Nothobranchius furzeri: one gene and its partner. The protein of the gene in region 2 interacts with the protein of the main gene of each other region in a pairwise test. Links are inferred from orthologs where the notes say so. Each region holds a gene or a part of one and is shown on either strand. Other genes may lie near its edges.

Region 1 (3,906 bases), on a different chromosome or scaffold from region 2:
GTTATCGCTCTACAACTGGGCTATTAAATTCTGGGCCTAGAGGGCCGGTATCCAGCACCTTTTGGTTTTAACCCTGCTGCAACACAGCTGACCCCAGCAGCAGGTGATTCAACCACTGGATTTAGTGTTGGATTAGAGGAGGGGTGTCCAATCCTGGTCCTGGAGGGCCGGTATCCAGCAGGTTTTGTGGTTTTTCTGCTCCAACAGGCTTGATTCAGTGGTTGAAACACCTGTGCAGCAGCTCATCAGGCTCTGCAGAAGCCTATTAATTAGCTGCTGATTAAAATCAGGTGTGTTGAAACAGTTCAAACTAAAACATGCAGGATACCGGCCCTCCAGGACCAGGATTGGACACCCCTGGTAATGGCCCTGCTCTACACTAAAGCAGGCTGCGGTTGGTTCCTCCAGCCTTGTCTCCAGTACGATTATGCTTACGGCACCACCACATCCACATCACAGGGCGCCACACCCAACGTGACGTTAAATGAAGTCGCCAGGCCACTGGGTTGATGAACAGCTTTTATTGTAAACACAGTCTCAGGCTATGCTGCCGGCATTGGAAGCGATTCTGGGCCACAGGTCTGCACACTCCTTGGCCACTGGGCCTGTGATGGCTGAACCTGCAGGTAGAGACGAGACGTTACTGCGGTCCAAATGAAGCAGCAGGCTGAAAAGGCAGAAGGCTAGAAATGGGTTTGAGTTTGGTGGAGCAACATTTGTCTCATCCCTGATTGAGATCAGTCAGTCACAGAAGGTCTCTGCTGTCTCACCCACAGTGATGAAGTCATTCTGCCCTTCCTCGACAACTCACCCAGCCACTGAGCAGACCAAGCAAGTGCTTTTGGAAGGGGGCGCTTCACGCCACCAGCACTCTTAACCACACACAGATTTACCGTGGTGCGAAGACACTGACAGTCTACATCTCACAGAAACAGCAGCTAATGCCTTGAAACTAAAAACACACCTTTCATTTCTCCTTTGTTGTTCACAATAACACCTGCGTTGTCTTCAAAGTAGAGGAACACTCCATCTTTTCGCCGATACGACTTCCGCTGCCGTATCACCACCGCAGGATGCACTGGGAGAGGAGCAGTGGTGTTATCACAGGTGACTGCGAGGTGGAAACATGCAGCTGTGCCCCAAAAGCAGACTAATCGCTTCTCTGTAGTCGCACTTACGGACAACTGGCACATAAACATTTCTTTGAACGAAACTCAACTTGATCCAGCCGTGTCCATTCCCAAGAGAAGTACCCCCCTTACATGCACCACACTCGTTTTGTGTGTAACGGGGGACAGATCAAACCCAATGCAGCTGTTACCACTCACCCTTCTTCCTGAGCTCTGGTTTGCCTTTTTTGACTGTGGCCATGACCATGTCCCCCACTCCTGCAGCGGGGAGACGGTTCAGACGACCCTTGATGCCCTTCACAGAGATTATGTACAGGTTCTTAGCACCTGTGAGTCAGAAGGAAAACAAGCATGAAAACAGGATTACTGGAACTAAATGCCCAGACCCTCCCGCTCAACTACACAGTTCATTAAATAGCTCAAGTAATTTATAACATATTTGCCCGTTTTCACTTTCACACTTGAATAAAATAAGTGTTAGTGTAATTTTGAGAATACAAGTAGGTGTGTGTGTGGGACTGAAGGCCCCTTCCTCCAGTCCAGGCTGGATGTTAGGTGACCCAACAGGCATGAGGTGCGCCTTGAATCCAGCTTTTATACAGGGCAGGTAAGACGTACCTGTGTTATCTGCACAGTTGATGACTGCTCCCACTGGGAGACCCAGTGAGATGCGAAACTTCGCTCCAGACGAACCACCACGTCCTGCAACGAGAGGACCCTAATCAGTCCAAGGCTCCACCGGTGCTTGAAACTCCACACAGCCTCGGCTGTAGCCCAGCTTTAGCTAGCACTTCCTCTTCCGTCCACCTCGAGTTCACACCGGCTAGCTATTAGCTAGTCTACGGTAGTTAACTAGCTCCTGTTTTCTCTACTTGTCGATAAACAGCCGCGTAGTTTGACACAAACGTCTATTTCCAACCTGCAGCTCTAATGCAGTCCAGCTCGCCTTCACGGCCCTGAAGCAAACATGGCTCCGAGAACTGAAATGCAACAATGCTATCATCTCCGGATCATTAAAGCGTGAGAAAAACTCCGAACGAGCCACAGAAACGTGTGGTTTATTATCAATCTGTCCTAAACGAGCATCATTAGGAACTCTGGGTAAAACTAAAACAGCAGATGAAGGTGGATTTCATATGATGATAAACCTACCTCTCTTAGACATGGCTGCGGCAGGGAAAGAGAAAGGCAAAAAACGGAAGTAGACCTTATAAAGGTGAAGGAAACTACTTCCGGGTCACGTAGAGGAGCAGTGCGTATGAGCCTGGGGGGCGTGACTTTGTTTTTAAAACGTATTTAGTTTAAAAGTAGAGAATACTTTTATTATCTTTCTCAGATCCATTACTTCACAATTAAACACAATAAAAATTACAATATAATAAACGTTTAGAGACTCCCACGTTAGGATATAGTGTCATAAAACAACAACAACAATAAAATAATAATAATAATAATAATAATAATAATAATAATAATAATAATAATAATAATAATAAATGAAAAATGACCTGCACTTATATAGCACCTCTCAGAGTAAGGACTCCAAAGCGCTTTACACTACAGTGTATCACTCATCCATTCACACACACATTCATACACTGGTGGAGATGAGAGGCATTAATAATAACGACAACAATTTTAAAATTTCCTTAGGGGTAAAACTAAGGAAAATACCCATCCAGACATTTTAACGTTTAACAGACTATTTGAAGAAACAATCTTCAATACACATATTAAAGGAAGTCGTAAATCAAACGTTTTATCATTTTTCAGAGCGTCGTTGCTGGATTCTCAACAAACATTTGCAGTGGTCTATTTTCCACTAGATGTCAGTGTTTCATTACAGTTTTCTTCAGCCTGCCCCTGCTGAGAGCGATAGAGGAAGAAAAGAAACCAAGCAGGATGGTTGGGTTGTCCTGGAAATGGACCAGCAGCCCCACTGAGCTCCAGCAGTAAACGTGATAACTGGTGTTTGGAGGGAGGACGGCACAGGACGAATATGACAACCCAGACCCGAGGCCTGGGTTTAGTTTATTAGAGGCTGCAGTAGAGACACCTAAAATATGCAACACATACCTTTTCCAATCAAAGCAGGAAATTATAGTTTTGATGAATTAGAGACACGTGGAGTGACTGAATGAAAGTACCAGGGTTGTTTTCATCATCTGTTAGCTGAGGGAAGACATTATCCCCTGATAGCCAGCCACAATAAACCTATTATAACTCCTGGTAACACAATATCATTTAATGATCAGAGTGAATGACTAAAGCAATAGTTTGGTGATGAAAAATCTGATCATTAAGTAATGTGGTGTGTCAACTGAAGCAGTGATTATTAGCTGTAGCGGTGAGACAGCTGGGGCGGTGTTCCCAGTCTGCCTGAAAACAGAACAGAAGTCCAAAAACCACGTGAAATCATGAGAAACTAACCCTATATAAGTATAGCTAATTTAGGGGTCCAGTGCCGTTTGGGACAAATACATGTTGGTATAGTCAGCAGCAATGCTTATGGTTTGTATTTAGTCTGGAGGAAATGCTGCAGAAGCTGTTGTGTTGGCTCGTAGAATCGACGACTGCGGCCTGTAGGCTGAACCTGCTCCTGCTTTATCTTCTCATGCTACTGGTAACGAGAAGTCATGTTTATTCTGCTCTCACAATAAATGATGCTGTATAAGATGCAACTGGAAATGTTAAAGCAGTAAATCAAGCACGGACGCTGAAGGACTTTCAGTGATTGTACACTCACGAGGATGGAAGTCTTTCTAACCTTTGTCAG
Region 2 (4,300 bases):
GAGATCTCAGCAGGTTCAACAAATGCATTAATAAAGCTATGAAAATTCATCTGGCAGAGCCTGTAGATGTTAGGGTCTGTGACGATCCATGAATAAACTGCTTTCATATATAAACACATCCTACTGAGACTGGAGCTATTTTATGACAGATTCATTCAGATCTGCCGTCAAAAGTAAGGTCATGTTCTACTTGACTGCACCTTTATGTAGAGAATAAATGTTTCACCCACATGTGCACATGATCATTACGACAAATGTCAATGTTGATGGATATTATTTTAAGTTCTGAGAGTTACTTTTTTTCCGTCTCTGGCACCGTGTTGTAGGGCTGTGTTGGCTGACGCAGCTCTGCAATATCGCGTGGACATCGGGGACAGTCCCACTGGACTGGCAGACCTGGGTAGTGGTTCCCTTATTTAAAAGGGGGACTGCAGGGTGTGTTCCAACTACAGGGGGATCACACTCCTGAGGCTTCCTGGTAAGTTCTATTCAGGGGTTCTGGAGAGGAGGGTCCGTTGGATTGTTGAACCTCAGATTCAGGAGGAGCAATGTGGTTTTCGTCCTGACTGTGGAACACTGGACCGGCTCTATACCCTTAGGGGGATCCTGGAGGGTGCGTGGGAATTTGCCCAACCAGTCTACATGTGTTTTGTGGATTTGGAGAAGGCGTTTGACCGTGTCCCTTGGGGGGCCCTGTGGGGGGTACTCCGGGAGTCTGGGGTACCAGGCCCTCTGATAGGGGCTGTTAGGTCCCTGTATGACCGGTGTCAGAGCTTGGTCTGCATTGCCGGCAGTAAGTCGGGCTCGTTCCCAGTGAGAGTTGGACTCCGCCAAGGCTGCCCTTTGTCACAGATTCTGTTCATAACCTTTATGGACAGGATTTCTAGGTGCAGCCAAGGTGTGGAGGGCATCCGTTTGGTGGCCTGAGGATCAGGTCTCTGCTTTTTGCAGATGACGTGGTCCTGTTGGCTTCATCAGATCGTGATCTTCAGCTTTCGCTGGAGCAGTTCGCAGCAGTGTGAAGCAGCTGGGATGAGAATCAGCTCCTCTAAATCTGAGACCATGGTCTTGATTCGGAAAAGGGTAGAATGCCTTCTCCAGGTCAGGGATGAGGTCCTGCCCCAAGTGGAGAAGTTTAAGTATCTCGGGGTCTTGTTCATGAGTGAGGGAAAACTGGAGCATGAGATCGATAGGCGGATTGGTGCTGCATCTGCAGTGATGCGGGCGTTGTACCGGTCTGTCCTGGTGAAGAGAGAGCTGAGTCAGAAGGCAAAGCTCTCGATTTACCGGTCGATCTACGTTCCTACCCTCACCTATGGTCATGAGCTTTGGGTAGTGACTGAAAGAACGAGATCGCGGATACAAGCGGCCGAAATGAGTTTTCTCCGAAGAGTGGCTGGGCTCTCCCGTAGAGATAGGGTGAGAAGCTTGGTCATTCAGGAGGGGCTCGGAGTAGACCCACTGCTCCTCCACATCAAGAGGAGCCAGTTGAGGTGGCTCAGGCATCTGGCCAGGATGCCTCCTGGACGCCTCCCTGGTGAGGTTTTCTGGGCACGTCCAACCGGGAGGAGACCTAAAGGTAGACCCAGGACACGGTGGAGGGACTATGTCTCTCACCTGGCCAGGGAACGCCTTGGGATTCCCCCGGAGGAGACCTGGCCCAAGTGGCTGTGGAGAGGGGAGTCTGGGCCTCTCGCCTTAAGCTACTGCCCCCGCGACCTGACTCCGGATAAGCGGATGAAAATGGATGGATGGATGGCACAATGTTCTTGTAGTGCTGTTTCTTTTTTGTTCTTCAGAGGAACTTCTTATTCTCTCTGGTGATTATTTGTTGATAGGAGCCTGTAAGTGGTTAGACTGGGCAGCAAAAGAAGCACTCACTGGAGCTGTGTATGCAGAGGGAGGGCGATCTGTGGAGGCACATTGATAAAGCGCTCACTCAGCAGAAGTCCCACAGGTTTGCTTGTGTCATTTAAGATCTGCTCCAGCTGTTCAGTCACACTGTGAGAAGCATTCTTCTCACACTGATCCAATATCAGCTCCTTGATGTCCTCCACACACCGCACGCCCTAAAAAAAAAGAAAAGCCACAACCTTCAAAATTAAGTTAAAAATTCACGTATTTTACTCATCTTCAGAGATTACCTACCTTTCTCTCTGTGAGGTTGAGCATAGCAATAAATCCAAAGACTTCATCCGGGTCATCATCATCACTGTCCTCTGGAACTTCAGCTTGCTAGAACCAGATGAAGGAGGAACGTAATCAGAACAGGGGATAAAATGCAGCGCCTCAAAGTTTGGGACTGGAAAAAAACGACTCACTTTGATGACGCTCCCAATATGATTCTGCTGGATGATGATGTCCGTCATCTCTGCTGTGTCTACACGCGCCTTCAGGAACAGCTGAGTCCAAACTAGTAAAGATTAGTGACAACTATTCGTGACGCTTATGTGACAACAACACACAGTTCTGCACCTGCTGCAAAAGCTTCTTAATGCCACTGAAGTCGTTGTTTGAAATCGCATGGGCTTCAAAATCCACCACGACCTCCTGCAAGTAGAGAAGAAAAAAAATATGCATTTTAAACCAAAAATGATTATGTCTTCATGATAACATCACGGACATGCTAGCTAGCGGGTAGAAAGGCCACGTGGGTTTTGTGGATTAGCCACCTCGTCGATTTCCTCCTCTGACGCCTCGCTGTCGTCCTCTCCAGACTCGCCGTCATCCTCCGGACTCTCATCCGAGCTGTTGTCGCTTTCTTCGGGATTCTCACCCAAACCCACTGCTCTCCTCTTAGCGGATGAGGCCATGATCAAGCGTGAAACCCGTGTATATTTAAGTAGGCGCTGCTAAGGTTAACGGATAGCAGGAAACTGGACACGTTCGGGCGCCATTTTGGCTCAAAATGACTGTGGAATGGGCGTACACCCGAGAAGATCCGAACAGACGTCGACTCCATGTTGGCTCACGCGACTGAACCATTTCCTAACACTGGGGAAAACGTTGTAAATAATATATTGGAATAAAATAGAAAATATGTCTCTAAAATATGTGACATAAACACTAACTTGCATTAGATGACCTATTTAAATGTTTAAAATGTAAATATAAAACATTTTCTAATTTTACATAGATTTGGGGAGACATTTATCGACAGGCAATTTTTGGACATCTTATTTTTAAATGCCAATGAAGTCGTCCGATGAACAGCTGAAGGTGTTCATTCTTATGCATGTATATATGTCGATGTTATGCAGTTATTTCGTCTTTCCAACCGCATATTGTTGCAAATATAATTGCGCAATTAATGTTAAACAAAAACTATTAACGTTTATAGCTGAAAATCGACGTATTTTTGGTTAAACTGGAACGTTATCGTGGCTAATCTGTCAGTGTGTTTTGCAACAACAACAACAGACAGACCGCAACAACAGACCGACGTGCCCAACTACGCTAAAGCGGATTTTACGATACAAGTTGACGTTATTGTTAGTTTATAATAGTTTAGTGTATAATCTTTCCTATTCAGGGATCGTGACTCAACAGTGTTGCTATCTGTAGGTTGCATGTGACCGTTTCTGGGTGTAGCTGAGCTACTTAAGTCTCCACACCCTCTGATTTAACTACTTTAAATTTCTGAAAGCAGCTGATACCTTTCTAACAGATGTCAAAACCCACCTTGTGTTATTGGCTCCGTTGAACTGTCTTTTATTCATTGACAGGATGCGTGTTTTGCTTCTTAAAGACCCCAGAGATGGAGAGTCTGGACCTGATCCTTACATTAAGGTAGAAACAGTTTAACCAAATCAATGACGTGGTTTTAACTAAACACACACTGCTTTGTTGCTATGCTTTTTACTCTACAGGAGCTGGAATCACGTGGGCACAAAGCAACCCTAATTCCAGTGTTGTCTTTTAAGTTTATCTCAGCAAACACCTTGTCAGATAAGGTAAATTAAATAACATTATCTGAACCAGTGTGTCATTTACCTAACTTTCTATGGCTGCACGTGTAAACCACTGATCATTTTAATGTATTTATTTCATAAGCTTCTTCAACCAGAGAAACACGGTGGCTTGATATTCACTAGTCCAAGAGCGGTGGAAGCTGTGAAGCTGTGCTTGGAAGATAAAGATAGGAAACAAGGTCAAAATGAAACAAGCATGATTAAAGCATTAGCGTGTCTGTGTGCCAATTCTGCTTGAGAATTTTAATAATATTATTTGTAAAACAATATTTTTCATCCAGAGTGGAACAAATCATTGAAAGACAAATGGAACAGGAAATCCATCTATG

The links.
Region 1: the proteins of bccip (region 2) and rpl23 interact in binary tests that used the Homo sapiens proteins (3 or more experiments, as listed by UniProt). The link is inferred for Nothobranchius furzeri from reciprocal best matches to the Homo sapiens genes BCCIP and RPL23.

Annotation. Positions count from the first base shown.
Region 1 is NC_091758.1:12,992,518-12,996,423, reverse strand, and holds rpl23 (large ribosomal subunit protein uL14), read right to left. Parts: upstream 2,400-3,906; 5' UTR 2,296-2,399; coding exon 2,283-2,295; intron 1,833-2,282; coding exon 1,749-1,832; intron 1,458-1,748; coding exon 1,329-1,457; intron 1,079-1,328; coding exon 965-1,078; intron 621-964; coding exon 538-620; 3' UTR 507-537; downstream 1-506.
Region 2 is NC_091756.1:42,762,520-42,766,819, reverse strand, and holds the start of bccip (protein BCCIP homolog), read right to left. Parts: upstream 2,814-4,300; coding exon 2,673-2,813; intron 2,551-2,672; coding exon 2,476-2,550; intron 2,403-2,475; coding exon 2,322-2,402; intron 2,236-2,321; coding exon 2,149-2,235; intron 2,070-2,148; coding exon 1,882-2,069; intron 1-1,881. Other genes in the region: uros (uroporphyrinogen-III synthase), read left to right, coding at 2,920-3,008, 3,726-3,789, 3,870-3,953, 4,054-4,150, 4,253-4,300. UniProt on the Homo sapiens protein: During interphase, required for microtubule organizing and anchoring activities. During mitosis, required for the organization and stabilization of the spindle pole.